Linked DNA regions of Lonchura striata. The main gene of each other region encodes a partner of the protein of the gene in region 4 in a complex. Links are inferred from orthologs where the notes say so. Each region holds a gene or a part of one and is shown on either strand. Other genes may lie near its edges. The genes, in order: F2R, F2RL2, THBD and F2.

What was found.
Region 1: the proteins of F2 (region 4) and F2R are in contact, whole or in part, in a crystal structure (PDB 3LU9), measured with the Homo sapiens proteins. The link is inferred for Lonchura striata from reciprocal best matches to the Homo sapiens genes F2 and F2R. Residues at the interface, in NP_000497.1 of Homo sapiens: Phe382, Arg383, Pro386, Gln387, Glu388, Leu389, Leu390, Cys391, His406, Cys407, Tyr410, Trp413, Lys415, Leu423, Arg425, Arg431, Thr432, Arg433, Tyr434, Ile441, Met443, Glu457, Asn458, Leu459, Asn506, Thr510, Lys517, Gly518, Gln519, Arg541; in NP_001983.2 of Homo sapiens: Ala33, Thr34, Asn35, Thr37, Leu38, Asp39, Pro40, Arg41, Ser42, Phe43, Leu44, Leu45, Arg46, Asn47, Pro48, Asp50, Lys51, Tyr52, Glu53, Pro54, Phe55, Trp56.
Region 2: the proteins of F2 (region 4) and F2RL2 are in contact, whole or in part, in a crystal structure (PDB 2PUX), measured with the Mus musculus proteins. The link is inferred for Lonchura striata from reciprocal best matches to the Homo sapiens genes F2 and F2RL2. Residues at the interface, in NP_034298.1 of Mus musculus: Phe379, Gln384, Glu385, Leu386, Leu420, Arg422, Arg428, Thr429, Arg430, Tyr431, Arg433, Lys437, Ile438, Ser439, Met440, Lys467, Pro470; in NP_034300.3 of Mus musculus: Thr46, Phe47, Glu48, Glu49, Phe50, Pro51, Asp54, Ile55, Glu56.
Region 3: the proteins of F2 (region 4) and THBD are in contact, whole or in part, in a crystal structure (PDB 1DX5), measured with the Homo sapiens proteins. The link is inferred for Lonchura striata from reciprocal best matches to the Homo sapiens genes F2 and THBD. Residues at the interface, in NP_000497.1 of Homo sapiens: Phe382, Ser385, Pro386, Gln387, Leu423, Arg425, Thr432, Arg433, Tyr434, Arg436, Asn437, Glu439, Lys440, Ile441, Met443, Lys470; in NP_000352.1 of Homo sapiens: Ser424, Cys425, Glu426, Cys427, Tyr431, Ile432, Leu433, Asp434, Asp435, Thr440, Asp441, Ile442, Asp443, Glu446, Asn447, Gly449, Phe450, Asp479.

What each region holds. Positions count from the first base shown.
Region 1 is NC_134642.1:13,412,128-13,419,802, forward strand, and holds the start of F2R (proteinase-activated receptor 1), read right to left. Parts: upstream 3,018-7,675; 5' UTR 2,895-3,017; coding exon 2,834-2,894; intron 1-2,833. UniProt on the Homo sapiens protein: High affinity receptor that binds the activated thrombin, leading to calcium release from intracellular stores.
Region 2 is NC_134642.1:13,444,531-13,452,508, reverse strand, and holds the start of F2RL2 (proteinase-activated receptor 3), read right to left. Parts: upstream 3,014-7,978; 5' UTR 2,829-3,013; coding exon 2,771-2,828; intron 1,061-2,770; coding exon 1-1,060. Other genes in the region: ras GTPase-activating-like protein IQGAP2, read left to right, coding at 4,882-4,972. UniProt on the Homo sapiens protein: Receptor for activated thrombin coupled to G proteins that stimulate phosphoinositide hydrolysis.
Region 3 is NC_134605.1:27,849,203-27,856,524, forward strand, and holds the start of THBD (thrombomodulin), read left to right. Parts: upstream 1-4,318; 5' UTR 4,319-4,347; coding exon 4,348-5,958; 3' UTR 5,959-7,322. UniProt on the Homo sapiens protein: Endothelial cell receptor that plays a critical role in regulating several physiological processes including hemostasis, coagulation, fibrinolysis, inflammation, and angiogenesis.
Region 4 is NC_134608.1:38,794,871-38,802,335, reverse strand, and holds the start of F2 (prothrombin), read right to left. Parts: upstream 3,018-7,465; coding exon 2,583-3,017; intron 1,609-2,582; coding exon 1,584-1,608; intron 1,378-1,583; coding exon 1,327-1,377; intron 885-1,326; coding exon 779-884; intron 698-778; coding exon 567-697; intron 1-566. UniProt on the Homo sapiens protein: Thrombin, which cleaves bonds after Arg and Lys, converts fibrinogen to fibrin and activates factors V, VII, VIII, XIII, and, in complex with thrombomodulin, protein C. Functions in blood homeostasis, inflammation and wound healing.

The DNA.
Region 1 (7,675 bases), on a different chromosome or scaffold from region 4:
CTGAGGCACCAGTTGTCTTGTCCCAGTATCCCTCAGATTTGGAGGACCTGAGCTGTGCTGCAGTTTCACATTTTTGAGAACTAGCAAACCAACCCAATCAGAGTCACTGACCCTTAATGACTGAGGTTAAGTCTCTTAGTGTGGATGCCCTGGGTGATAACCTGAATGACTTCTCATCACCAGCTCCTAACTGAGAATGGTATAAAAATATGCTACACGAAAAGAATGCTATGAGTGGGACAGGTACCTTTTACTGACTACCAGCCATTGTCTAAGCTAGTGCTTATAGCTAAATGAACATTGCTAATAATTTTAATTATATTCTGAATTCTTGGAGGCATCTTATTTACAGGTTTCTTAGATGAAAGAATTTAGAGTCACTTTTACTCCATTACAGAAATTTTCTAGAGGTAGAATCCTATTACAATAAATCAAACAAACAAAAAAAATGTATAAATAATTTTAGATAAATATCTGGAATAATTTGGTGAAAACTATGTATTCTTTGTATAAGCAGAGGCTTTCTAAGTTCAGAATTGAACTCAACCTTCATTCTGCAAACATCACCTCTACACTGACTCCTGTTCTAAATCCATGTCCCCATTTTGAACTTAGAAGACATGAGGTACTACTTGCAAGCCAGCTTTGTGGGAAAATGTAATGAGGCATCACACTTGCTATTTCGCTGCCACTTGATAACATGAAGAATGGTGACCTAAACTTTCATGTCTATTTTCATATGCAAGGGACTACTCTGCATCCCACTCTGTGAAAGAAAATACAACTTTGACCAATCTTAAGCTCCAGAAGAAACTTGAAAAATATTTCTGTAGACCCATGAGCATGGACAGAATGTTACAAACCAGCAGACTTCACATCCCGAGGGATATCTTTGTGATGTCAGAGACTAGAGAACAGGCTTGTGTAGGAACACAAGCCAATTAAATATGTTCCCTATGTGCTGCTGGACAATAAATAATACTGATTTATGGGCATTATTGGCAACAGCTGCATACTAGCTTATAACAAATAGGTTTCTTTTATCTCTCCTTTGTACAACCCCAAGTGATAAGCATCTATAATCTAAATTACTCAGTAGCCCATAAATTAGGCATGTGAAGGCAGACTCTGAAGTGCATGCCAGACATGCATTAATGAACAAAATAAGACACAATCTTGTAGGAGTGATGACAGTTAATTGCTTTTATAAAAATAAAACTGAATTATTTATGAGTTCACATCTCTATTTATATAGAATTCATTATTAGATTACACAACTGATGTGGTAGCAATCTGAACACATTTTCTTGAACTATTGTTTTCTTGCAACTGGGTGTCTGCTCTGTTTTCTCATCTCTTTAACCACATATGCTGGCTTCAAACAATGAATAATCTCTGTCTTGCCATCAGTGTCTCAAGGCAGGGAATTCCAGGCAAGTTTCAGACCTTAGACACCTCAACAGCACTGGTCAGATAATTTGTAGGCACTTAACACCAACCTACTGCCAAACTAGTGCTTTTTCATCTGCCCAAAGGAACAGTGCAGGTCAGTAATGTGGTAACTGTGCACAGCGAAGGATGGCAGAAAAGCCAGAGCAGACCACAGGATACAAAAGTGCATGGGCAACAGGAATGATGTACATTGTGGTAAAAACAGGTTATTTAGGACAGCGGGGAAATTATATTATTATGATGGGAGTGAGCACAAGAAGAGCAGAAGACATATTCAGATGATTGGGTTTTGTTAGTTCTGTTGTACATGAAGTAACTGGAAGAATAGCACCAACAGTGAAATTTTTTCCTAGCATTAACATGTGCAGCTTGTCTTTTACACCACCTCCCCCTTTTCTTAAAAAGATATTTTCCTTAGACTTCTCATATGAACATGATTTCAGCTTCCTTCCCACTTGTCCTTGTACCAGGAAGTTGTCCAGCAAAAATTATTTGCCCTCTCTGATGCTTCCCTCCCAGCATAGTTACAAATACTAGGTCTATCCCCTTTCAGTTTAGCTCAGCAGTCAAAGTATGCTATGCTCTGAAATTTCCTCTTAGCTACTCATCTAATCAGCCCTTTTACATATATAGGACCTGAGGCTCTACTGCAGGCCATCGTGGGACGTTATTTCTACAGGAGCACTATCGCCACTACCTGATTGAAAGAAATCTTAAACTGAATCAAGGAAAATTGTAATAGCAAAAAAACCCCAGTGCTAATCTCTAAATGCACAATCCTTTGTACTGCTGTACCTCTGCCATAAGGTGTGAGGTTAAATGCATGCATGTCTTCTCTCTCTTTCCTTACCTCAGCATCTCCATCGTTTAACAAGCTCTGAGCAGGACGGATACATGGGCTCACCAGGTAGGGTTCTGATGTTGCTATATCGTGAATAACCATGAAATAACCATGAAAGTAGTCTATCTACTTGGGGTGCATATTCTGAACAATTTTGTGCTGGCAGATCTTCCGAAATTTGCACCTCCTAGAAATTCAGCTGGCACACCCTCTTCCTACGTTGCTAGTGAAAGGTTAAGAGAATCCAGCAGCAAGTCTCGCCGATCTGGTCCGTTCCCCCGCCACCTGCCACTGCCTGCCCCCCTCCTTAACCACGGCGTCACCCCGAGCCATCCTCCACCACCAAGAACAGCCTCTCCTCGCCGCTGCCAGGAGCACAAAGCGCCGAAGAAAACTCGGCCCGAACTCGCACGGAAAACTCCCAAGCGGGATCGCACGGCCCGGCAGCGTGCGGACAGGCGATGCTGAGCGCTGGGACGCCTCCGGCTCTTCGCTCCGCGGCCGGAACACGCCGCCAGCGCCGCGGCCCCGCGGACCCACCTGGCCGGGGCGGCGGGCAGCAGAGCAGCGCCAGGGCGCACAGCAGCGCCCGGGGCCGCATGGCCGCGCCTTCGGTCCGCGGTCCGTCCGCCCGTCCGCCCGTCCGTCCGTCCGTCCGTCCGTCCGGGGCTGGCGCACGCAGCCCGCACGAGGCCGGGGCTGGCGGAGAGCCGCACCGGGACTCCCTCCTGCCGCAGGGATGGGGCTGCGCGCCGGGGCTCGGCGGGAGGGGAGGAGAGGGAGGGGAAGGAAGGGGAGGAGGAGGCGCAGGGGCAGCGCCCGCGGGACTCGGAGCCCGGCCAGCAGCCCCCGCGCCCCGCTGGGACACGGGAAGCGGCGGCCGGATCGGGCAGGGTGAGAGGTCGGGAGCGCCGGAACAAAGGGTTATGTTCAAGGAATTATTCTAAGCTAAGTTTGCCAAATTTGCAGTCCGAGTGCCTCACGGGAGCAGTTGTACGGGCAGATGAAATGCCTGCATTACTCACAGCTGAAGGATCACACTGTTTCAGTTGATCTACTTCGTATAAAGGAGATGACGTTCAAGCTGGCTTGTATTGCATGTGTTCAGTAAACTGCGCTACAAACACAGGGCAACCCAAAAGCGATTCATTGCCCGGCTCTGCAGCCCTCTCTGCTGTTCCAAAATTCCCGATAAAGTGGTGCCACTCCCCAGTCCAGTGGCGCTGACAAACTTTGGAGTCTGTGATCCTTTTGAGATGCTCATGAATCAAGAAGTGGTTGAAGCAAAACCTACATGAAGGTTGCATAGGAAAATATTTTGGTAATTTTGCAGCTATTATTTAGAAGCTTTGCTTTCAAAACATCCCACTGTTGTTTAAGTGTTTATTAAGCCTGTAGGACAGTCAGAAGCTTTAAAGTGGACACTGGCTTGCTAGCGTGTGCTATCCATGCCTCAACTGTATATCCTTCTGTTTACAGCAGTACAGACAAAAATGGGAATGAGGGAAGGCTGATTTGAACTTGCTTATATGTATGAAGTGCCTTTATTACTGCAGAAGCACTGAGCTTTGTTTTTGGTGGAGAATAAAAATAATGGAAGACAAATTTCCCTAATCATATGTACTGGTTCCCAGTAAGCTCTGTGTCTCTATGGTGTTCCTCTCACAGTTCTACCACTACTTATAACATGGTTGAAGATGATTGCATTTGTATAGAGCAAGAAATAAATACAAGTTTTACAGCTAGCCAGCCTTCCCACAGCTCTATCATCCCACATGCTCTAGGAAACCTAGAAAAAAATGCTTTATACTTAATTGAACTATTCATCTGTTTAGACAATACCTTAATCAGAGGTAATTATTTCATCTGGGAAGAGAAAGTGAAGCTATTCTTTTTGTGAGGTGAAGCTAGTAATTTCTGTGTGGTCTCACAGTTCTATAACATGCACAGACGTTGCTCTTCTAACACTCTAAACCCAAAATAGAACTGAACTAAAACAGGTAATTGTAAAAATGACTCAGGTTCTCAAAAAAGCATATATTGCTAGTATTTTTCTTACATTTCAAGAAGTGTTAGCCAGTGGGCAAATGCTTGAGGAATAACTTAGATTGCAGAGTTTGTAAAACATATGAAGAGAAGCCTGGTTCTCTTCAGATTGAACCTCCAGAAGTATTTTAGTCACAGACATTAGAAACCATCATAGGGCTATGCCCTTTCATCTTTGTAACCTGGTTATTATATATACAGCAAGTGAATAAAACCCATGCTTGTTAAATTTTATGTCTGCATATGAAAACCAAATTTAAGTTTTGTATCCTGTAGTTTTTTGAATCAACTTGCTCCTTCCTCTCAAGATAACTTATTGTAACAGAGGTGAAGAGTTCAGGACTTAATAATTTTTAATGCTACTTGGTGTTTTTTTTAGTAGAAGTATGTTACAGAACAAAACTTCATTCCTTTTAAACACACCAAGTTTACCAAAAAGGACTGCACCTATCTAGCCAGACTGCTACATCATTACTGTTTGCGGAAGGAGATCTTTCTTACTACCAATACACGGATTACCCTGGTGCTTGTCAGAGGTGGGTGGTTACTGCTGAAAGATGAGCACAGAAACACACACCTCAAGCAGGGAAATCAGTCATCTAGGTAGAGGGTTGTGTATCTTGTTACAAACTTTTTGAAATCACATGTAGCTGTCAGTGTTTGGATTTTCTGGGAATGAAGGTTGTTTTACTCCTGTATTCTTTAAAAGAAAGTTGGACAGTTAAAGGAGGTCCACGGATCAGTGCAAAGTGAAACAGAACAAATCTAGTGCTTGTGTTGGTGCTCCTGTCTGCCTGGCCTAAGCAGAAGGATGTTGTTCTGCAATTTTGTGGGTAGCTTTTTATCTTTAGAGGCCCTTGAGAATGGAAAAATTCCAAAATAAACTAAGTAAGCTGCCAGGCACTCTTAATGAACTCTAAAGACACGTGATAGAAAAATGCAAGCCTTGTGGTTAAAAGGCTAAGACTATTACCGATTATAATTTCTTTTCCCTGCCACCAGTTAAGGAGGAAAAAGCTGAGAGATAGGCTGTGCAAAGAAAGATGCATTCTCTCCTGTAGTGACAACCGATGCATAGGCCCAATTCAGCTGTACTGGCATTTTTTCTCAGATTTTGGAACAGCAATGCAAGTCTTTCCACACCACCATTTCATGATTGAAGCTGATTTCAGCAAGTCCTTTCTAATGTTGGAATTCCCCACATTGCATCTTACAGTAGCCTCTAAAACACCTTTTTTTTTTTGTAGTTAGTAGCTGTCAGCAGCAGTGGGTGATAACAAAATCACTTTGCTCATTTGTATGGTACTTCACACTACCATCAATCTTACATGGAGGAAGAAAACATTGTGGTCAATCCTTCTCAGCAGGGTTCATATTATTGTTCAGTGACAAGGCCCTAAATGGAACTACCTAATTAAGGAAAAAAGCTATAAAGGAGTTCAAAGACATTAAATGGAAATTATTCTTTGATGTGCACTAGGAAGAACAGGAAGCCCAGGCTGGAAAAGGGGCATGCTGGTACACAGACTGTACCATTCATAATTGTCATTATGTGGAAATCAAAGAAGCTTTTCTAAGCTTGCCTGCTCCAGGAAATAACTGAGGAATGTGCTATTTGCATTAGAACCAGGCAGGTACTAGATGTGCAAGTATATCACACAAAATTGCATAACCAGGAGTGAGTTACTCCCATAAAGGCTGTGGGTCTCTGGCATGTCTCACCAGCACAATTCCAGGCTTTTGACACATTGCCTCAAGAGTCCGTCCTTAGGAGCAACATCACACCTGTGGCAGATTTAGTGCTCAGCTAGAGTTTTTTAAAAATACAGCCATTAGTCAAGTCTGTTGCAAATAAAAAGGGGAACAAAAGATTGGGAATTGAATTAATATTCAAGTAAAATTCAGTTCTCTTCTTCAGAAGGAAGAACGAAGCACTGTTTTCATTTTTCTATCCAGCTATTTTAAGTGAAGTAGGGTATCAATACTGCAGTATTTATGTCATATTAAAATGGTTTATACATAACCAGCTAGAAGAAAACTGGGATCACAGAGTAGTTTTTTAATCATTTAATTAGGGATATTAACTGTTTTAAAGTAGTCATGTATTCAAACTTAATGTCATACATAAATTAATATCTCCAGCAAATGTAATAATTTTTTCAGCTTGTGTAACACCACACATCAGTTAGTATATCAGCTGAGTTTGTAATCCATATATCTGCCAGTGACTTAACACTGTTCTATTCTCTTACCAGAGTTCTTACTTAATATTTGCTTTTATAATTAATTCCAGAATTTCTCACTATCTTTTGAAGTGTTTGTCACAGGAAAAGTGAGAGAAAGAAGTATTTTCTATTGGTCACATTACCAATGGCACAAACTTTTGCTCTGTTATAGTTCCTAAGCAAAATCTTCATCACATTCAATGGCATAAGGGCCATGAAGTCTTCACTGCTGAGCAGCTTTCCTCAAGTGTACTGGAGACAGGCTTAATTACATGCAATTTTATAAAAGCACTGATATAAATTCTTTCAATTACCATCTAGGTTGCAGCTTTAATAATTCCTTGAAATGAGATTTAGGGACCAAGCCAGTTTAATTAGGTGATGTTTATTTTACATAGAACAATCTCCAAAGAATATTTAAAAAACCCAATCTAAATACTGATTTTATTGCATTTATTTTCTTACAAAAAAAAAAAAAAATAAAAGACAGGCACAATTTAGGTATTCAAATACTTCAAACTGAATAACTGTTCGCTATTCAGATTTCCCCAATACCACTCCAAAGGCTGTGAAAATAGAAAATGTCATTTTGCACAAGGCAGTAGTGCATTTAGTAGGAATGAATCGCAAAATATATTTTTGTGAAGCAAGTTGTTATTGTCACTCTATAATTACCTATAAAATTTTTTGAATTGCACAATATATTTGCTTTGCAATTGACAACTGCCACACAATAGGCCTAGTATGTAGCTAAGTATTTGCTCAAACTATCCCTTAGAAACAAATTAGGTTCTCTTTTGGTAAATACTTAAAGTCTAGTATCAGCTATATTATATATCTGAGGTAATTTAAAAATGTTTCAATAGGAAGAGGTTTATATATTTAACTAAATTCAATTTCTGTCTACTTTAAAATCTACACAATAGCTGTGTGTCCTAAAGAAAATTTTGATTTGAAAGTACCAACACCAATGAAATCTTGAGCTGTTTAAATGAATAGATTTCTTGGTTTTCTGTTTTGTTATCAATGCTGAAAAGGCACTGTGTACATTCCTCTGAACATTTGGTGTTTTAGGGTGTGTTTTTAAAATTTAACAAGCATCCAACGACAA
Region 2 (7,978 bases), on a different chromosome or scaffold from region 4:
GTCAGATAAATATTGGATTGACTTCTAATTTTTGACATTAGAAAGTAAAGGAAAGGATCAAGACAACTGTTTAGGCTGCTAAGGCATAAAGCAATTAGGTAAAAAGAATACAACCTATCTGTCTTGTAATAGTAATAGTTGATGTGATGGATAATAAGGATAATATTGCTTGGCACAAAGCAAATAGCAAAGATGGTAAGAATCAACAGACTGACTTTAACATACCAGAACCACTCGTGAGTCTTGAGTGTTCGTATAATCGAGACATAGCAGAACACGATAGTTGCGAGCGGTATTAAAAACCCAAATACAGCTAAGGACACGTAGTAGTAGAACTGGAAGGAAGACACAGTTTCACAGGCACTGTGCACATCGTGGCAGGTGTAAATGTCCAGTTGCTTCACGTAGTAGCTTTGCTGCATGATGGCAAGTGGGAGCATGTAGAGGAAGACGATGGCCCACACGGCAGCGCAGGCGGCGATGGCGTAGGCGCGCTTCGGGAGGCTCTTGTAGGTGAAGGGGTGAACGATGGCCAGGTAGCGGCTGACGCTGATGCACGTCAGCAGCAGGATGGAGCAGTACATGTTGCCGTAAAACACTGCCGTGGTCGCTCGACACATGGTCTCCCCAAATATCCAGTTGTTCCCGTTGATGTGGTAGGCTATTTTGAAGGGCAGTATGATGCAGAAGAGCAGGTCTGAAACAGCCAGGTTTGTGTAGAGGACGGCAGTGCACACAGAGCGGATCCTGAAGAGAAGCATCCACAGAATGATGGCATTAGAGGGTACACCCAGTAAAAGAGCACTGAGGTAGACAGCAGGTATTAGCTTGGTGCTCAGGGAGCTGGTGAGGTACTCCAGCGTGGTGTTGCTCACTTCTGTTAACGTGGAATCATTTGGCTTTGTTGAAGTGCATTTGTTTTCTCTGATATGGATGGTTGTTGTTTCCCCTTCTATAGCATAAGGAGGGATGTAATCATAGTCTCTCGCTGAAAGTCCACGAAAAGTTTTTATAAGAGACACGGTTTTAATTGCAGAGCCATTCAGTGAAAATTCTGAAGCTTAGAAATAAAAAAAAGTGAGAATTGTTAAAAAAGACAAACTACTGCATTAACAAGATGACTCACCTTCAGAACAGAGAAAGATAACCATTTTTATGTGAAAGCAGTATAAGTTTAAAAGATTTGGGGACATTCTCCTCTGCTTTGGGTATTCAAATGTACAGACAACAGTCTTCATTTATCATTTCACATCAAATCTTGAAAATTCATCATTAACGTAGTGTTAGCTGACCTTTCTGTGCTTTGAGTGTTTTCAGTAATCTTTGGTGAAAAACATCAGACACTTCAGTAATGCTTATGACCAGTGGAGGATTTTTCCCAGTAGTAGGAATGCTGGTCATTCATCATATAAGCAGTCTTTGTTTAGGCTTGGTCAGCCACCATTACTATCCTGTCACTTCATGTATTAAATGAGTAACTGCAAAAGATGCAAAAAGCACTATCTAGTCTAACACTGAAGCTTTCAAATTAGAAAACTGAAATTACCCTTGGTTTTTTTGGTCTCACATGTGAAACTGTTATTCTGCAGCTTTTGACTAAAGCAAACTTGGTATTTTCAGGTTCTTGTACATGAGAAAGGGCAATGTCTGAAAATTGAAAACAAATGGTTGGGAAAGTATTAGGTGTGATTTACTAAGAAGTGAATAAAACTTTTCAAGCAGTAGGAAAATTATGTGTGAGTAAATATTGTCAGCATGTGGGCAAAACCAGTAATACTATTAACACACTATTAGATATTAATACTGCTAACACCTGTTTTTCAATCTTTAGTAGACAAATTTGTAGATATATCAACATTTCCACATGAAGCACAAATGTGCTCAAAATGCTTCTTAAAGCCATGTGCTGTAGAATAGATTTTGCACAGTAAACAACTGTGTAAATATTTGTGTCACTTAAATTTTCTTATGTGCATTTAATGCAAAATTACTTATTGTTAAGCCTTCAGCATGCACCATGAAACTGAAATTCAGAAGCAAACTGAAATATGGATGAAAATCCTTGGACCCTTTTTTACCTTTCCATATTTGAATAAATTAAAGAGAATAATTTTATTAATGTTCACTCTAATAGTAGAATGTTTTATAATAATAATAATTAGCAGACTACATAATTTCTAGTAGTTTTCTGCTAGTTATTCCAGAAGTTTAGTTTTAACCACTCACTAGGAGTCATCCATGTGCCTGCATTGGCTGATATATGTATAATAAATAGACATAGGTGTAAATACATATATATGTATATTATGTATGTATGTATATATATATTTATCTATACCAGCTTTTCTAAATGAGCTTGTTTTGAAAATATTTTTAATTCTAGAAAGGTTTATTATTTGATCATTTCCTTTAGTTATTTTTATCACAATAGTCATCTGGGCATTTCCTTCTAATAACACCATCTGTGAAGTTGCAAAACAAGACACTACAGGTTTAAAATTTCATATTGTTACAAAAATACTAGATAAAAGATGTGTCTTCAGTAAGTGCAGAAAGTCCTCTTAAATAAAACTATTTTTACAAAATGACTGGCAGGGGTAATGTGTCACTGAAATGAAAGTATAAAAATCTGCTTTAAAGGAGACATCCCGGAGCAGTTTTCTGTAATCATACATGCATGTACAACTCATTTTAAGTCCACAGCTGGTAAAGCAACATTATCAAAAAGTCTTGACTAAAATATGGAATAGATACAGAAAAGAGGACTCACCTGTAGTGCAAAGATTGGAAGTAAGAGAGAGCAGTCCAGTGAAAAACAGTATCTTCATTGTAGTGTGTGAAATCCAGCCAGCTGAAGGATGGCGCTGTGCTAGTTCATCTCAAGAGACATTTTGTAGGGGGGGGGGTTACTCTCTGTAAGGGACTAAAGAAAGATTGATCTGTCCTCCAGAAGCATCCTGTAAGCATGAGGTTTATGGTAAGGAGCTAACTTGTTCTTTGTCTACTACAGCAAGAGAGTGTGACGTATCCAAATATGCACATATGACTCAGTTTCAGCCTCAGCCCAACACAGAGATAAAATCCTTTACAGCAGCATTTTAACTCCTAATTTACCACAAGCCTGAAGCTGATATGCAGGGTTCTACTGACATTTGTACATACAGGTATTTGGAGTAAAAAGTTTTTTTCTGGAAAAATCAAGGGGTGTGTTTAGTAAATCCTCAAGGGTCTCATTCAGGACCAAAATGTCACGTGGCTGAACTCTGTACCCTTCTCCAGGGAAAAGCTGGGCTTGCAGAAGGGTGTGACTATCTCAGTTTAGCAAAAGGCAAAGACAGAAAGAAAGAAACCATACATACAAATATACCTCAGGAAAACTGCATTCTGCTTTGCCTTTTGCCTCCCTACCCACTATTAGCTGTTTGGCTCCTTCAATCCACCTACAGCCTCTCCCCAGGCAGTTTCCATCCTGCCACACACTGCAGCCTCTAAAACCTTTCCTCTCCTTTCCCCTGTTTTCATTTCCTGCTTTGTTGATCCCTCCCTTTTTCTCTGCCTGGCTTGCTTTTTTTTTTTTTTTTTTTTTTTGCCTTCAATGCCAAATAGCAATAGCTTGTTTCACCAAGCCAAATTAACCCAAGCCTTGGTCTGGCTTCCAGGCTAGTTGTGAGGATCAGCATAAGTTTTACTTGGCTCCAGAGCAGTATTTGTGTCTGTTCTTGTATTTAATGTGTAAAAGCTCTCAAAGCTTTTCTCAAAATGCAATGGCAGTTTGGGGATTTATTGAACATTCTCTCATGTGCTAACTCTCACTTGGTAGAAAAATAAGCAGTATGTGTCCACTGTCCTGTGATTGTCTGACACCACTTCATGTTATACTAAGTATTCTGCTACCTTGCTTACATACATGATGTAAACCGAAGAGCATGTCTTTAGGGGTTTTTTTACCCTGTTTTTGTAGTTTCTGTGGATATCAGATTTATTATTTGACCTGAGCTTCAGTGCTTAACCAGGGATACTCATTGCAAAGCTGCTTCTTTATCCACACTGTTTTAGTTTGAATGTCTTTCTAGCTGTATTTTTTCCCTGAAATATTTGTGTGTATATTTTCCTAGATCTCTCTTAATCAATACATTCCAGCTTCTCTCATTGCTAGTCTATGATAGGCGTGACATTTCCTCTTTAGCATGCATTTCCCACCCACCTACTGGATTAGGTTTAAAATACTACTTTAACCCTGTTTTATCTGCTGAAGTGTGGGTATCACCAGTGAACCTGGACAGTAGGGCTAGTTAGTAGGCATGTTGATCCCACTCTAATGCACCTTCTATTTTAACTTGGGTTTAATGTCATGCACTTTAGGCCTGAAAGAATAGCAGTGCCTATTCCGCAGCTTAATTACAGAAATGTTTGCATGAGCTAAGTCATCTTTACTAAATCTGGACTTTCTATAAGAGTATTCACTGTAATATGTACTTAGATATACACAAGGATCCTTTCCAAATAAGGGATTTTGAAGAAAGCCAGCTTCCTGCTGTCTGTGTGATTTTACATGACTCAGACTACTTTATCTACATATCATGGAAAAAAAAATGTTTCAATTTGTATTGATCTTTAGTAGAATTAATTCTCTGCCAGTAGTATCAGCAAATTCTGTTCTTCTAGACATCAAAACTTTCAGAGATTTGTATCTGAACAGGATCTTTTTCAAGTCAGTAAACAAAACATGAATGTATTTCATTGATGATTTTAAACAATCAAATCCTTTTTTTGTGTTCTAGAGCTTTGCAAAGCAGAGACTGTGTATTGGAACTGTATCACTATATTGAGATAACTCTTATTATTCAGTTTTTTCAAGGCTTTTTACTGTCCTTTTTCTAGGAATCTCAAGATGAATCAGCTCTTCTGTGGCTGGATGAAATACAAAGAGGAATCAATGACAGCAATAACAACATAAAAGAAGCAGCAACCTGTAAGCATTAACCTGCATCTCCACTGGTCTTGTTTTTCTTGGTCTTGGGAAAATGAAATTGGTAATTTATATTTTCCACTTCAGAGAAGGTGCAAGCTCTTTAAATACATGAAAAGAAATGAATGCATGTTCTTTGTCATACTAAGACTGAGATGACTTAAAACTACAGGAGTGGTGTTAGTTCTATCTAAAGTGGTAATCTTTAAGGTGTGGCTAATAATTAAATGGATTTGGTTATACAGGTTTACATCATGACCAATCTTTCTAATGTCACTGCATCTTCATGTAGCTCCTGAAATATATGAATGAGAACAGATATGCTGTTCAGGAGCTTGTTTTGCTACATTTAAGACTAAAATCTTTATGCATATTTTAAGGGCAAATTTTTATGTTTACAATTTTGCTTATTCATGTTTCTTTATATTTTATGGATTGCTGACAAAGAAATCAGGAAGATTAACTTTTAAAGCAGTGTACAAGAAATGCTAGCTCTTTTTGAAAAGCATATGCTCTTCCAATCTGTAGGAAAAACGCTGAGACTTAATCTGTCAGAGTGCTGTGTACTGAATGGACTCAACACCTTTTGTCAAAGCTTTGGCTGAATATGATAATTTTAGAAAAAGTATTCATAATACATAATAAACTTTGGCAAGCAACGTAGCAGCAAGCATCACTGGGTTTATGGGGCGCGTTGGAGAGCATGGTGATGTGCCTGCCATCACAGCACAGACAAGGCACTGGGTATTGGTCAGCCTTCTGCTTCACTTGGCTCTGGGTGAGTCAGTGCTTCTTTCTGTTGCACCTTTGGAGCTTTGGAGCTTGTGAATGCAAGTGCTGAAGTGGGTGCATTCCTGCAGTGCTGTGCTCAGCCATCCCTGGTGCCATGGGGCTGCTGTGAGTGCACAGGCACGTCAGGAGTTACTGCTTGGGCAGTCGTGGGTGGAAGAGAACACAGATGGACATTACAAATAGCTATCCCTGCTACAGGAATGTTGCATTTTGTGTTGCTATTACTTTGGAATTGAGCTAAACAACTAATGTCATCTTCATGTAACAAGGCAGATACACAGAAGATATCTGAAGTATTTTTGTAGGTCACATATCCATAGAAAGCGCTGGGCTTGTGTTTTCTGAGATAGGGTCAGATACATGCATATTGTCTCAACCTAGATTTTCTGCTGAGGAGTGCTGATACCTTCTTTTGTGGAAAAACCTGCTTCCCTTGAATGCCATCCAGAGCCATGAGGAAACATGAGCACAGAGAAAGGAAGGAAACATGTAGTGTATAAACAGATTTGAGTTAAACCTTAAGAGCAACTTTAAAATGCCCTCATTTGTGTTCACTGGTGTAAAAGCATCAAGAATATGTATCATAAGCAGCCTGAAGAAATTAGGACAGCATAATTCATACAGCAATACCACACAATGTTTCTAATGGTAAATTACTGGTCCATCCACTTGTTCTAAAATCTTTTGTTATAATTTTTGTTCGTAGTAAATGCACAGTTTTTCACAATCAAGGATGCTCAGTGGAACTGTTTTAACATTTCACTTTTAGAAAAAAAGTACTAATTTCATGTACTCTGCCCTGTGGGTTGAAAGGAAGCACTGTCAGCACAGCACATTCTTAGAGAGCTGTAAGGTTTTGCAGCTAAAACCTGAGATTTAACATTTCCCCACAGCACAGAACCTGATACTTCCTATAACCAACACATCCTGTCTCAGGAAGCTTGCATGTGTGTTCACGTAGTCTAAACTTAAAGTTCAGCTTGATCACAACTTGGAAAGGAACTTTTATTTGATCTATCACACAGGCTCTATTTTTGAAAGGCAAACAATTCCAAAACTTTCACAAGGTAGTCAAAGATGTATTTTTCAGTTTAAAATGTGGTTTTGAGATTGCTGCAGTAATGGCAATAAAATAAGCAGTAAAATAAGAGAAGATACTGGCAGTGGTACTGAAACAGTCTTGATCACTTCCAAACTAACTTTTATGCCTTATATGAATACTAAATGGTACACTATTAAAATTTTGAAAGGCTTTTACAGTCATCCCTAAAGTTGTCAGTAAAGGACTCTGTATCTTCTACCTATATTTAGGAAGAAGTGTTCAGTAAGTGCTGCTGCATTTCCTAACCCATTGTGGTGCTTGCTCTGTTTTGCATCACCTTGCTTCACTTCTTTAATGAGTTCAACCATTGTACTCCTTATCTAAGTGAAGGACAAAAAGACATCAGCCAAATATCAGCTGTATAGCCTTCAGGAGTAGATTTGAACACTGACTTCAGTCTTGCACAGGAAGAGTCTGTCAAAGCAGGAAGTCTGTGTCCTGAGACAGTCCAAGTTATAGGAAAAAGCTGATCTTTGGCCTTGTTGAGAGTTCAGGCTTATCACACCAGACAACTGTGGTTTTGTATATCACAGCTGTTTAAAAGGGAGGATGGGTGTGGAGAAAAACCCTTTGCAGTGTTGATCTGGTATTGGCATCCTAACTGCTGGAGAAGCAAATGGAGCTGACAGTTTTCTGGCAGTTGAGGAGGATGGCTAACCCTCAGTTATCTTATGATTTTTCAGGGTCCAAATGGCCTTTCTCTAGAGCAACAGCCACAGTATTAATTGCTAGCATTTTAAAATGAAAGGAATAATTTCTGCCAACTTGAGCTTTTTCCCTGATAAGCACTTTTCTTATATTTTCCTTCAAATATGTAGGCATAATTAATTAAAATATGAGGAAAATCCAGATGACAGTGGACCTACATAAATGAATCTTAGCTTAAGCTGTGTTTTCTTTTGTCTTTATAAAAATATCTTCCAGCACCCTTAACATGATGAAAAGGAGGAAGGAAAGCATTCAAACACTGCTGAACAGAGTTGATGAGGCACATGGGACTGTGTATGAGTCTGGGGCCAGCAGCAGCCAGATGTAATGTGTGGCTTCCCAGTTTTTTCTGCTTCCATGCTGCTGAGGCGAGATGCCTGGATATCACAGTGTCACAGCAATGGTAG
Region 3 (7,322 bases), on a different chromosome or scaffold from region 4:
CAGGCCCCTGCAGGCACAACCAGGGTGGGGTTTAAGGGTTACTTTTTTAAGGATCTTATTAAAAATCTGTTGCCTGAAACCAGGGAAAACTGCTTATCACAGAGCCAAGGAATTTCATAAAGGTAGGAAAAGCTGTGTTTGGAACAACCACGTCCTCATATCCTGAGTGTCCTGCCTAAATCAACTTCTAAACAGAGAAAACAATGCTCTCCTTCCCATCAGCCACATGGGAGGCTGGGCTTTTCCTGTTGTATCTTTTTTTTGGGGGGGGAAAGTCCTTCCTGGCTCTAGGCTGAGTGTGTTTTCCCTCTTTCCCCGTGTAAGGAACATGCTGGAATTGGAATATTTGCTGATTATTCAGTGTAAAACTCGTAACTCCCAAAAAAATCTCTGGGCCAAGTTGCTCCCCAGGTACTTCCCAAAATTCCTTGAGCCTCTTGCAGTCTTTCCAGTGGGAATTCTCCTCAAAATCCTGAGGGGCACATACAGCATCACCTCCTTCATAGTTTATCCATGCTATGAAGGGCTGGAAAAGATCAGCCACAGGATTTGAAGGGTCCAGCAGCTTCTTGAAGTTTCTGTTTGAGTTATTGTGTCCCTGGAGCTGAATTGCTCCAGGAATGAGAACAGAACACAAAGGAGTTTGCAGTGGGTAGGGAGCTGCATCCTGTCATTCCATGTGCTGAGGAAAACCCTTTCCTGCTTTTTTCTTGTCTTGGGTCCCCATTGTGAGCTGCAAACAGGAAAATTGAGCTGATATGAATGTTTTCCATGCGCTGCCTAGGTTGGGAGAACGTGGGGGAATTCAGCAGCAGAATTCTTGGAAATCCTGCCAAAAATTCCCAAATCCCAAGCCAGCATAGCACTGGGAATAGCTGGATCAATGAAGGAAATCCCATGCAATTATGCCGGATTGGGATCTTTGGGAAGTGACAACCTTGGGGTTTTTTATGGGATATAAGGCTATAAAAAAGGGAAAGGAAGGGTGAGGGTGGAATCATAGCTGGGAAGAACCTGAAGTGTGCTGCTTATTCCCAAAAAATCATAATCCTGATTTCTGATGCAACTTCTATGTATTCCATTGGGGAATGATGATGGATCTAGGGGAAGACAGGAATTTGTGCCAAGGGTTTAGGTTGGATTCTTCCTAACGGAATATTTCCTGCTGTAGCATCCTTCCTCCCTGGTGCAATTCCACCTGGATTCAATCTTATGTCTCATTTTTCCTGGCACATCTTGATCTGTGGCCTCCTTAGGGAATTGTCCAGGTACTGGTGAATCCCACAAGTTGGAGCAGGATAATTTGGTGCCCTGTCTTCCAGAGGAGATGGGATGTTCATCCTGCTCCTTGGATTTTTTTGTAATGGATGAGTGTTTTGCTTTGCCAGAATGAAACTCTTGGATTTACAGCATAAAGTTATCCCAACACTGCTCTCCAGATGGAATTCCAAGAAAACTTGAACAAAAATGTGTTTCTAGTGGGTTTTAATAAAGATATTCCTAAAAATCCATGGTCTGGTGCTCCTAATCCTTGTCTTCCCTACAGTAGGTGGGTGGTGATCCCAAATCCTTTCCTAGGGCTTATTCCATGATCTCAGCCTTTCCCAGGATCTGTGGTCCTGGGCAGGGGCCATTCCCTTCATCTCCGCTGAGGCCATGGGGTGGGCTGTGTTGGATCCCAATAGCACAAGGAAAGTCCTAAATCCATGAGGAAGGTCCTAAACCTATAAAAAAAGTCACCAAGCCACAGGCAAAGCGCTAAATCCATGAGCAGGGTCCCAAATCCACAAGCAAGGCCCTAAACGCAGGTGGAAGGGCCCAAGTCCATGAGCAAGATCCTAATCCTATGACCAAGTTCCTGAAACCACAAGGAAAGTCCATGAGAAAAGACCTCAACCCACGGGCAAGGTCCTAAGACCATGACCAAATTCCTAAAACCATGAACAAGGCCCCAGTCCTATGACCATGTTCTCAATCCCACAGCCAAGGTCCTGATTCCATGGCCAAGGTCCCAGCCCAACAACCAAAGTTCCAATCCCATGACCAAGGCCCTAATCCCATGACCAACATTCCAAATCCATGAGCAATCCCTTTGATTTCAGTGCTGCTCTGCGTGAGGTTCTTTTCGGGATCGACTGATAGGATAGACTGCTTTTAGATCCTATTATCCCATGATATTTCATATTATTTTACATTCCATTGCTTTCCATTCCCTCATGGACAACTGCCAGCATTCCAACAGAGCAACCTCATCCCAAAACCCTTCAAAGAAGCCAAAAACTCCCCCCTGTTGACACAAACTCCCAGATTTGGGGGTCAGGACAAACACTCCAAGTGCCCGCTTGAGCAGAGTGACAGGGACAGCCCGGATGAGTCAAAGCCAAGGGGAAAGGCAGGAGAAACATGATTAATGGGACTGGGGAAGAGGAAGAGCAGCCTGTCAGCAGGCAGGGCAGTGCTGGCACCCTGACTCAGCCGCTGGAGCAGTGGGATAAAAGGAATTAAGAAACCGTGATTAATCCCATTCCTCCCACCCCATCTCGATTATCTTTTAGGGACAAACGTCAGTCGGGCAAGACCAGTGAGGTGGGATCATTGTTTGGGAAGGCTCTGTTTTTTTCCTGGACAAAACCTTGACAAGGAATTTTTTATCTGGGTTTGCAGTTACTGAAAAAAAAAATAAAACAGCCGGAGCAGAAATGTATTGTTTTGGGGTTTTTTCCATCTCCACTACACTCTCCTTTCCTTCTTTTCCTGTGGTTTGCCGGGATGTTTTTCCCCTTCTCTTGGTAGTTTTCTCCAGAGAACAGACGCAGAAGTAAAAGGAGAAGTGGAAGAAGAATTGGAAATAGTGAAATGAAAATTGTGGGAACAACAGGTGTTCCTAAAGTCAGTAAAGGTCAGAGTTATCCAGCTCTCCAGGAGATTCCTGGGAATGATCCTGCTTGGATAAATTCTTTGTTTCAAGCTCTCCCATGGACACTTTCTCCTTGAGGTTCATCACTGCTGCTGGAATTAAATTCTATAGACATTTCTTTTCTATTTTCGTGGCAGATCCAAAATGTCCAATGGGGTTAAATAAGAGTTAATTATTGATTATTCATTATTATTATTACTATTATTATTCCAAACTTCTTTTTTTTTTCCCAAAATCCCACAGGGTTTTGTGGGAAGGACTCAGGGTTGTGAGAGGACAAAACAAACACCAAGGGTTTAAGAAAGGACAAAGTTCAATAAAGTTCACTAAAGTTTACTAAAGTTTAATAAAGAAACCTCCTTTCTTTGATCCGAGGAAATTGGGATTTGCTGCTTATCCCAAAGGACAATTGCAGTGCCCGAGGCTGTTGGAATTCCATGAAAAAACGGCATCAAATCCCTTTTTTTTGTGGAATTGAGAAGCCTGGGACATTTAGGTTGCATTTTTAGGTTGCTCTTGGCTCTGTTCTGGCAGCACAGAGGGATCCCCCAAGGACAAACAGATGGAATGGGATATCCATTCTGAGGTGTCTGTGGGGAATAGGGGAGATGGGGAGAAGGGTCATAATATTGCTTTTAATAACAATAATACCAAACAGTAGAACTGTATAAGTTATATAACTCTAGATGGAAATACATAATTATATGCTAATTTTTTATTAAAGAAGTTTTCCCTAATCAAACGTAAACAGTTTTCCTTCATCCCATTCCTTATTCCCTGGGAGCAGATCCCAAGCCCACCTGACTCCACCATCCTGTCAGGCATTGCGGAGAGGGAAAAGCTTTCCTCTAGAGCCTCCTTTTCCTCAGGCTGAGACCGTTTCCTAGCTCCTTCCCGGTGCTCCAGCCCCTTCCTGGCTCCATTCCCACCTCTGGACACGGTCCAACTCCTCTTCTTTCCACTCTGGATGCAGAGCTGCACGCAGGATTTGAGCTGTGACCTCCGCAGTGCTGGCCCTGTGGCAGCAGCTGAGTGACATCCCAGTGGCACGAAGACCCCAGCGGGGTGACAATTCCCAGCGGCGCTGCTTCCACGCCGAGGCCCCCTCCTGTGAAATCTCCGCGCCGCTTCCCCCCTTTCCCAGGGCTCAGCCCGTGTTCCCCGGCACTCGCGGGACGCCCCGGCCGCTGCCGGCCGCTCCCCGCGCAGCCGGGCGGGCCCCGCCGGGGCGGAGCCGCCGGGAGGATGCGGGAGGGGACCCAGGGCCACGGGGCGGGGGCGGGGGCAGCGCCCGGCCGGGATTCACCGCCGCGGTCGCTCCCGGCCCCGGGGGCGCTTCCTTCCCCCGCCGGGGCCGCTATAAAGGGGGCGGCCGGGAGGAGCGGCCCATGCTCAGCTCGGGGCGCCGCCGGCCGCCCCCTCCGCGGGCCATGCGGCCTCTGCTGCCGCTGCTGCTGCTCGGGACGGCGGCTCTGGCACAGCCGCCGGACCCGTCCCCCGCGGGCACGCAGTGCCTGGAGCACGAGTGTTTCGCCGTGTTCTGGGCGTCCCGGCCCTTCTCCGACGCCAGCGAGAGCTGCGAGCGGGGCGGGGGACACCTCATGACCGTGCGCTCCACCGTGGCCGAGGAGGCGATCGCGCTGCTGCTTCAGAACCGCAAGGGGCGGCTCTGGCTCGGGCTGTCGCTGTCGCCCTCCTTGTCCTGCACCGAGCCCAGCCGGCTGCTCCGCGGCTTCCGCTGGGTCACCGGCGACCACAGCACCGATTACACCAACTGGGCGCTGCCGGGGCAGCGCTGCGGCGAGCGCTGCGTGACCGTGTCCCGGGAGCTGGGCTGGGAGGAGCGGCGCTGCGAGGAGCCGGCAGACGGCTTCCTCTGCCAGTACACCTACGGAGGCAGCTGTCCTCACCTGGCCTCCCAGCGCGCCGTCCCTGTCACCTACGCCACCCCCTTCGGCGCCCGCGGAGCGGACTTCCAGGCACTGCCTCCGCGCAGCGTGGCGTTCGTCCCTGACCTCGGGCTGGAGCTGCGCTGCGAGGATGGGGACGACGCGGGGCCGCGCTGGGGCCGCGACACCCCGGGAGCGTGGCCCTGCGAGCTGGGCGGCGGTGGCTGCGCGGGGACGTGCGCGGAGGAGAGCGGGCGGCCGCGCTGCTCCTGCCCCGAGGGCACGGTGCTGGGCCCGGACGGGCGCGGGTGCCGCTCGCCCTGTGAGGGGGCGCAGTGCCAGCATCACTGCGTGGTGGCCGGCGGCTCCTTCTTGTGCATGTGCGCCGTCGGGTACCGGCTGGCGGCCGATGGCATCAGCTGCGAGGACGTCGACGACTGCACCAGCGAGCCCGGCCCGTGCGAGCAGAAGTGCCTGAACACCCAGGGTGGCTTCGAGTGCCAGTGTCACAGCGGCTACAGGATGGTGAACGGGCACTGCCAGCGCCTGCCGCCCTGCTGGGAGGCGCCGTGCCAGCAGCGCTGCGAGGAGCTGCCCGACGGCTACCGCTGCGGCTGCTTCCCCGGCTACGCCGTGGACCCGCGGGATGCCACCCTCTGCCGCCTGCACTGCAACGCCACCGAGTGCCCCGCCGTGTGCGACGCCGAAGGGGCCTGCGAGTGTCCCGAGGGCTTCCTGCTGGACGGCGACGATCTGTGCGTGGACATGGATGAGTGCGACAGTGGTCACTGCGAGTTCAACTGCACCAACACCCCCGGCGGCTACCAGTGCCACTGTCCCCCCGGCTACTACCTCCTCGGCCTCGACTGCAAACTGGACGGGGATGGCGAGGAAGCGTCCTCGGGGGATTTGGAGCCCGAACTGCATGACCCCGTCCCCAGCCGGCCCCCGCCGAAAGAGGAGCAGCTGCACCCCGGGGTGCTGGTGGGCATCGCGGTGAGTGCCCTTCTGAGCCTCCTGGCCCTGCTGGCTCTGGGATTCTGCCTGGCCAGGAAGCGCTGTCGTTCCCACGGCTCTATGGATTACAAGTACAGCGGCCCCCACGAGAAGGAGCTGGGGCTTCAGCCCGTCCCCTCGGCACAGAAGCCGTAGGGACATCCGTCGGACGGACATTGGGAGGCCGAACGGGGTGACATTTAACCTCCGCCACCCGCCCCTTCCCAGCTGCCCGGCTGGAATTTTTGAATGATAATTGGGGAAAAGCTGTGATCGCACCACTCCCAGAAATACTCGCTGCTTCCCAGCCGGCTTTTGGAATGCTAGTGCCGGAGAGCGGGGACAGCAGAACACCCAGAACCTGCTCCGCTCCTGCTCCGTTCCCGCTTCTTTGGCATTCAGCTTTCCTTTTCCCGAGTGGGCGGTCGGGAAAACCGCAAGGAAAAACCCAGGAGGGACGACTCCGTGTGTAAGTGACTCTAAATCCGTGGGATGAGAGCACGGTGTGACCAAGACGGGGACTTTTGAAAGGACACCTCAACCCAAATCCTCCTCCCTCGGGCTGGATGGTTTTCCCGAACTGGGAGGCTCCTGCTTTTCTTTGGGATGGGGTTTGTTTGTTTTAAGATGAGGGAATGAGGAGCAAAGATGTTGTGGGAAGCACTTGTCACCTTAAGCCACTGGTGAGAGCAGGCTCGATGTCACCAAGGGGGGACTCAACTTCCTGATTCCCATTCCGTCTCCTTATTTTTTGCGGGATGTGGAGGTTAAACAGGGACACATAGGCTGTCGGGATGGGTTTGGTAGGAAAGGTTTGCAGTGCTGCAGAGCCACATCCAGTTCCTTCCATGACTTTCCACCGTTGTTGCCTTAAATTATTGGATTTGGGATATTTTTACGACCCCTCCCACCCAAAGAGATTTTCCCTGTTCCCTCGTGCAGGGCTGACTCTATCCCAAAGTAAAACATTCCCAGGGGGCGGGATCCAGAGTGCCGCTCATTCCCAGCCACGGACTGGGTGGGAGTTCTGAGAGGGATCTAATTTTCCAGCTCCATCCTTCCCTGGGGAGCCAAAGAGGGTCCTGTTCTGGCTGCCGTTGGATCGGGAACGTCAGAGCACGTGCTGGCAGCTTTATGCTGGTGAAGTATTATCCCAGAGTGGTGAAAGTTTTGGAAGCCTGGGATCAGAACTGGGGAGTTCTGTTCCCCAGCACTCCCCCCTCCCACCCTATGAACTTCCCAGCACGCATCTCCCCTGGAATGCTAAACCTCCGCTGCAAATTCCCAGGAAAATCAAAATGAGGCATTTGTAAGAATCGTGGTTTTCCTAAAAGGTCATTATCCTGAAGGCTGGAAAACTGAGGATCCTGTGCATGGATCTCTTGGGGTGGATTAAAGTGAAACCACATGGAGTGAGGGCTGTAAATCTGTGGATGTGCCAGGTTTATTTTAGGACAGTTTGGCTGCAGTGGGAAGGAGGGAGCTGTTGCGATTACCCATAATTATCCGTGATTATCCAG
Region 4 (7,465 bases):
GAGGCCAAGCCCCAGAGGAGATGGCTTTGTACTAGGGAGAAACGGGAATGTGCAAGTGTAGGGAGATGATCCTCTATGTTCAGCTTAATGATGAGAGAAGGGTATCTTCTCTTTACTTGAAATTGTGAGTATTAAACTGCACACCTTCACAGGAGAGAACGTTAAGGCAGGCAGTCAAGCATAAACTAGTTATTTTGTTCTAAAGGTAGGCATTCAGACCAAAAAGCATTATGACTCTTGGCTGTCACAAATTAGAGACAGCTGGGCCAGGATTCTGGGGTGACTGACTAGAAAATACTGTAGTACATTCCAAGGTACTGCCGATACTGGTTTTAATTTAGATCTACATTAGTGTAATCTAGAGAAAATAGCTCATTATGTATGGGCAACTCAGTGACTTTTCTTCCTCATCTCCTTTACCCTTTAAGATGCAACTTCTCTACTCCTACTGACCTCTGTTCATGTAAGCATTCCCCCTCCTTAACCCTCTCCTTGACTGCTTTAGTGTCAGTCTCAGTGCAGTGTTTTGCTGTGAGTGAAGGGCTCTCTGGAGTGCTGGGGCATACCACACACGGGGATAGGACACGCCTCCCGTTCTACTGTTGGGTTTCGGGTATAGCACCACGGGCCTTCTGAGTTGTTGTCTGGGTTCCTGCAGTAGTTCTCAATGAGGTTGGGATAAATGGTGGCATTAAATCTATGAGAGACAAAGCTGGTTAGGCTAGGAAGGAAGGATACCCCAGAGAACTCTTAAGGGGTATGTGGGAGATGAACTTACTTAGGTATATGTGGATACTTGCTTGTCCACACTTGACATTCAATCCCAGACTTGGTTTGGCTAATTGTTCCCTGATAGTTCTGGCCCAGCCCAAGAGCACAGTTACCTGTCAAAATCCCAACAGTGCAAGCCAGTCAGTGGAACTGGATGTTGCATTTTGCAAGGTCAGAAGTACCATCCCCACATATCCCTTTAACTTTTGCTGGGTGCATGAGCCTGCAATAGCAGAGGCATCCTCTTCCTGTGAGAAGCCTAAGCTTTCTCTGCTTCATCAGAGGGAGCTGTCTGTGAGGGCTCTGTGCTTTGCTTTGGCTCAGAGCCTTTCTCAGAGGCTGCTATTTCAGTGCACAAGCCAGATTGTCTGTTGAAATGATTACTGGGGAAATAAAGAGTAAGAAATAATTTCAAATTCCTCCCCTTGTATTTTTCTTTAAAATTAGATGGCTTCTCTAACATCAGTTAAATTTCTTTTCTGTACAATCTCTGCAGGAAGCAAGTTCCTGGCACTCACTGTATCTAGGAGATTGAGGTCAGCATGAAGTTCATACCTTCTAGACAAGCATCCAGAATTGTCCTGGACTTTCCCAGGCCCTGACATACTAGCAAAATAAGAAGAAAGAAACACATTGTATGAATGCAATCCAAATAAGCATCGTCATTTGAACCAGGTTACCATCTAGAGACAAAACACAAGTGCTTAGCCCTGGAAAGTGAGCTCTTAAAAGAGGGAGCCATCTCTCCAGGATGAGACAGTGCATTCTAAGGAATAACAATACCTGCAAGACTCAAAACAACTTCAACTTACCTTGGTATTTTGACCAAAATATATCCTGTAAAAAAAAAAAAAAAAAAGAAAAAATAATTTAAGGACACAGAACATCAAACATCAAACCTTTCTGGGCTACCGCTATTGAAACCAGTAAGAGAATGTTCCATAACAACAAAAGGAAAGACTAATCTAGTTCTGTTTATACCAATTACTATGGAGTCAAAGCAAAAATGTGATGCAAAACCACATTCCCACACATCAGACTTGGCAATCAAGACAGTACTGTTGTTTCTAAAAAGACCAAAGATGTTTACAACCTTCATCAACCTGCAAAGCAAGCAGTGCAAGTAATGCAGTATGCTACAGTGCAGAAGTCCAAGCAGCTGAACCTGGAATTTCTAAGGCCATAGATCACATGTAGGTATTGCTCATCTCTGCCATGCAGCTGGAGGCTGATTGTTTTTGAAGTACTCCAAAGAGCTAGTGTCTTGCTGGCTTAGGCTCCTAACTGTTTGTTTATGGGTTTTTTGGGTGTGAAATTCTGCAGGGACACCAGCCTTGGGTCTAGGAACAAATCCCAAAAGGATGCAGTATCGGACAACTTTGACAGAGTGAGTGAGTCTGGAAGGCAGAAAAATAGACAGGGTGTGCAAAAGCAAAAGCTCAAGGGAGTCTGAGCAACCTGCACTTAGTGTTTTGACTACTATGCCAGTGCTTCTGTGGGTGTCTGGGATAGCAGTTCGCATGTATGGTACCATGCTGAGCTGGTGGAAGGTGCTTTTCGGGACCAATAGCACCTTGTCACTTCATGCATAGAGAGGGAGAGAAAAGAACCTGAGCTTTCAAGTGTATTCCCTGCAGGTCTCAAGAAGGGAAACTCCCTAAGGAAGCCTGAGCTTGCCGTGGGGCATGCACTCATCAGCCTCATCTTTAGCTCACAGAATTGAGTATTACAACCCTGGTCCCTGGCTGTGTGGGCAACCTGCTGGTGTCTCCCCACAGAGGCTGGCTGGGGGAATGTTTCCCGGTACGTACCGTCTGATCAGTGGATTCAAGGGCTTCGAAAGCCTCCTCATAACTGCATGTCTCCTCCAAGCACTCTCGCTCCAGGTTTCCCTTAAGCATCTCTTCTAGAAATCCCTTGTTGGCACGTCGGTGGCGCTTGAGCAGTGACAATGCCTGCCCCTTTTCCAGGAAAACTATCAGGTCAGAACACTGCCAGTCAAAGGGCTGCTCACAGCCAGAGGGCACCTTTGTCTCCCCTTGCAGTTTCCAAAAACCACATGCAGCTGATGTGGTGATCCCACAGCCCAGCCTCCCCCAGCACACCATACAGAGAGGAGAAGCCCTGTCATGTCTACGCTTGATGATCAGAGCAGGCTCACTGGAATTCATCCCATCACAGCTCCCATCACTTAAGGAACAGAAGCAACAGGAACACTGCTTCCTCGGCAAAGCTGCTCTGCTCATTTGCAGTTAGATAGAGGCTTGTTTGCTTTGAGCCTGCTGCTGTCCCTATCCCCAGCCACTGTATTTCTGTCTTATAAGTCTCAGACCACTGTGCTAAACACAACTTGGTTCCAGTTCATGTTCAGAGCCCCTGATTTGAGATGTGGAGACAGGTCTTCTCCTGCTCAGTAGTGGGTTGAAGAGTACTTAACCTCATGTTAAGAAAAGACAGAAGCTCCTTAGGGAGCAGTGAGCAGGCAGGTGGAATATTTTGTATGACCTAAGGTTTTGATAAGGCACAGCAGGACAAGCAATAGAGAATTGAAGTCATCTAGGTCAGCTGAGAAACTCTATTCCCAAAAGCCCCATGGTTATTGTTAGACTTGATCCTGGACCACAGTCCCCTCCCTGCCATTTCCCAGGTGACCCATAAAATGCACTGAGCTGCTATCACCAGCTGGCAGATGCAGCTGCATCCTCCTATGTTCACTCCATTCTCAGCACCCTTTTGCTCCCAGCTTCAAGCTTTTAGCCTGTCCTCCTGACTTGAGGAAGAAAACTTGCCACCTGTGTTACCCCTGGAAAGAACTATCTCTGTCTTCCCCCTGTCATCTACTGGTACTTCTGCCCTTGAGTCTTACCTCCAGCATGGCTCAAGGTGAGGTGCAGAAGGCTGGAGAAGAGCAGGCCCCTCAGTATGTTGGTTTTGTTCTGCGCCATGCTGTACAGCCGTGGCTGCAGGGGAATTGCAAAGGAAGCAGAATAAGCAGATTCACAGCCCTGCTGGGTTAATATTGAACCAGAATGAAGAAACAGGACTCCAGGTCATGGTGTGTCAGGGACAGTGGGACTCTTATCCCTCCTCTTTTGGCATCTCTCCCTCCTGTCAGAGCATCTTTGTTTCCTTACTTAACTTCCTATTTCATATCTAGGATGATGCATGAGTAGCAAGAGGGCAAGTTTGTCCTAGGGTACAGGGAAAATTTGGGCTGGAGAGAGATACCTCTGCCAGCTCACAGCCATCCCAGCCAGAGAGCTTGCTCCTTTTCCCTGGCTTTGCTCCTGTGCAGCCCCTTGGCACCATCACTGCCTCCCCACCATGCTGGTTCAGGTCCTTAATACTGACTGTTCTCAAAGGTTGTACTCTAGCTACCTCAAACACAGAAGGACTTTGAGACCTCCTTAGCCATTCCCAGTCCTCTTTTTAGCTGCAAGCCCCCCTGAGTGTCCCTAGTGCTCAGTTGTCTTTCCTTCCTGCAGTTATCAGTAAGCTCAGCCTCAGCTATTTTGGCACCACAACACAGTTTGTGTTCTCCCTTCTCCCTTGCCCATGACAATGAGCAGAAAGGGTGCCTTTGACAGCCCATTTGGGATTTAGATTTTCCTCCCAGTTAGGTTAGTTACCAGTGCCATTGGCAGTGCATTCTTCGTAATGCCTTATAATTCCCAGCTGAGTGGAAGAGGATGAAATAGCATGAAGGCTAGGCTCCCCCTTTTCTTCCCCCCTTAGTGGAATGTACTAAAGTCCATCTAAAAGGAAACAGAAACTCTGACAAGCAGGGAGCTAGCACACCCCAAACCAGCCAGAAAAACAAGGGCTTCCAGGAATGGGGAGAGAGGAATGGTCTGGATGTAATGACATCAGCTGTTAAGTCAAGAAGTGGACTACCAGAGCTGGGAAGGCTCTAATGGTTGCTACAGCAAGCAGACTATTGGCAAGAGTGGAAAAACAGCAGAAAGCAGGGCAGCATGGGGGTAGTCTCAGGAATCTGCCACATGGAGCAAAAGTGCTTCCTGCCAGCAGGGAGCATATTTTGTCCTGTGCCTCTGTGCAGCTGATACATCTGTAATGTTTATCTCCATAGAAGAAGTGCAAATATTAGCATTAGGGTGGCTGAAGAATGACTCTGGACACTGGTACAAAGAGCAGTTGCAGAGTCTTCCTTCCTCACATAAGAGTATCTCCTGTTCTCATCCACACACATCTCTACTCCTCGCTATGGATTTTGAAAATACACCTTTAGAAATGGCTGGAATTCCCTGGGTGGAAATGACCTGGGTGGAGAGTGTGTGAATGGGATTAGACACAACCCTGGAAATCCCCATGTTACTTAGCAGGGGAAGCAGCATTTAGGTAGAGAGCGCAGGCAGGGACAGGGAAAAGCACAAACAAGAATGGTAAGGTCAGGCTGCTGCTGTGTCCCACACAGCCACCTCCACTCCTCACTGGAGGAGGAGCAGCTTTCAGTCTCCTCAATCACTTTCTTTTCTGCATCTCTGTCTCTTCTTTGTAACAACCAGGCAGCTTAAGTCAACGTTGTTACGCATAGATTTTTACCCTCTGCTTGTCTTTCCTTTAAAGGAAAGGTCTTACCACCTTCCATGGGATCATGCAGTATATAAGGCCAGCTTTAAGCAATGCTACAATACAGCAGTTAACCTTGGTTATCAGACAGGTATGAATATCTTCTAATACCCACTTATGCCATCTTCCTTAAACATTACTTCTGTTCTGGTTCCTACATTTATTTTGTTGCTTAAGCATTTGTTTGAAAAACCCTTACTGAAACTGATGATTCTGTCACTATGTCTGGCTGTTTCTTGCCCAGCTGCTTTCTGCTGCTGCTGCTCTTTCCCGAGCGATACAAGACAAACCCACCTATCAGGGCAACTAAGTTGTTAACTGTAACTGCTGAAACTTCTTATCTCTAGATTGCTCAAGGATACATCTATCACTTAGATGTCTTCTATTTCTTTACATTTTGCTTTGTAATTGGAGATTTTCACTACATCCTGGGACCCTTTCCAGCTCTTTCTGGTGTCTCACAGCAATGTTAGTAATTAAAAATGCTGACTCTTCACACTGTGGCCTTTCTCCTTCCGTAATGTGCTTCTAGGGCTCCTTTCTGTTTCTCCCATTCCTGTGGTTAGCCTCTGCAGCAGCACAGTATGCATCAGCTATCACCACCTCTCCAGGGATGACTTCCACCCCTCCAACATTTACCTCTTCCATTCAAACCAATTTTTTATAATTTCATTTTCTTTCTGCCTTCACTCACCTATGAATGATGGATGCTATTTTCTTTCTTAGGACAAGAGAGTTAAGATACCTTTTCCATCCAGAGTTACTGCTTGTAACACAGTTGGGAATTTTGATCTCTTTCGTCCTATGTGTTAATTCTTCTTTTTAAGTAAAGAAATTTGGCTTTTTTTTTTCTTTTTTTTCTTTTTTTTTTTTTTTTCCTGTGTAACTTTTCAACTTCCAGGGAGCAGAATATAGGGGATTTGGCCTTGGCCCATTTTCTTGGACCTTTGTCTGCTCTGTTATGGATAGTTTGCTGGTTCAATAGTTGAAGCGTTTATTAATCTGTTCCTAAAGTGAGTTATACAGTTTGATCAAAGCAACATCTTGGATACAATCAGAAACATGAAACCTTTATCCCTTCACATGGGAGTTCCCCTGTCCCCGAGGGCCAGGACCCAGAGAATTGTCTCCTCCCTGTGCAGCCTGTTCCTTTTCATTCAAACACCTTGGTCAGGTTTAAGCCAGTTTACAACTTGGCCAGGAACTGAACCCTGATTGTGGTGTGAGGTTTAAATGTAACACTTGTATGCATGCCTGACACCTGGTGTCACCCTGCCAGCACAAAGGACCCCAATCATCCAAAAGACCTTGGCATTTGTCACCCAGGAGTGTTGCAGCAGCACCCCAAAGATTTGGTGAAGCCTGCCAGCATGGTGGACTTCATTACCCAGGAGAGCTCTGTGCTTGCTGCTTGAACCTATTATGGGTACACAAAGCAGGCTGTGTAGCTGCTCCCCATGCCAGCATATGGCACCAGGCAGGCACATATCCTTTTCCTTGTTATCCTTCTTCCCTTCTCACCAGGATCCTGACAACTGCACCAAATGTAATGCACTGGCATGAGGGCTTGTTATGGATCCCAATAAAAAAGGCACTCAGAGCCCACAATGTAGTCATTAAAATACCATTTACTGGACATAGCCATGGCACCCTGTACAAATCCCATCCCTGCTGAGGTTCTTTGGGGCTTTTATAGGAATTTCCTAGGAGTAAACAACTTTATGCAACATTTTGCTGTCAAGAAAAAGGTTGTTCACATGAGAACATGCTGTTTCTAAGACAAAGACATGGTGGTGGCATCACCATCAGGGGCCTATGGGAATCACCTATGGGCTCCTCAGAATTAGCCAGCTAAGCTTATCTTGCAGCCAAGTGATACGTGCAGCATGGCACAGACATGCTCCCACCTACTCAGATCTACTGTCAGGTGAACAATGTTTCTGTGAAGACCTCCTAATTCATAATTGCTCCTTCTACCTCTCTCCTGTTACCTTGGAATAAAGAAGCAGATCAGCTTAGGGAGTAGGGGTCTGGGTCTCCCTGCCCCTTCCCCCCCTTGCTCCCCCTTCTCTCCCAGTTCTGCTGTGACAGAGGGCACTCGCTT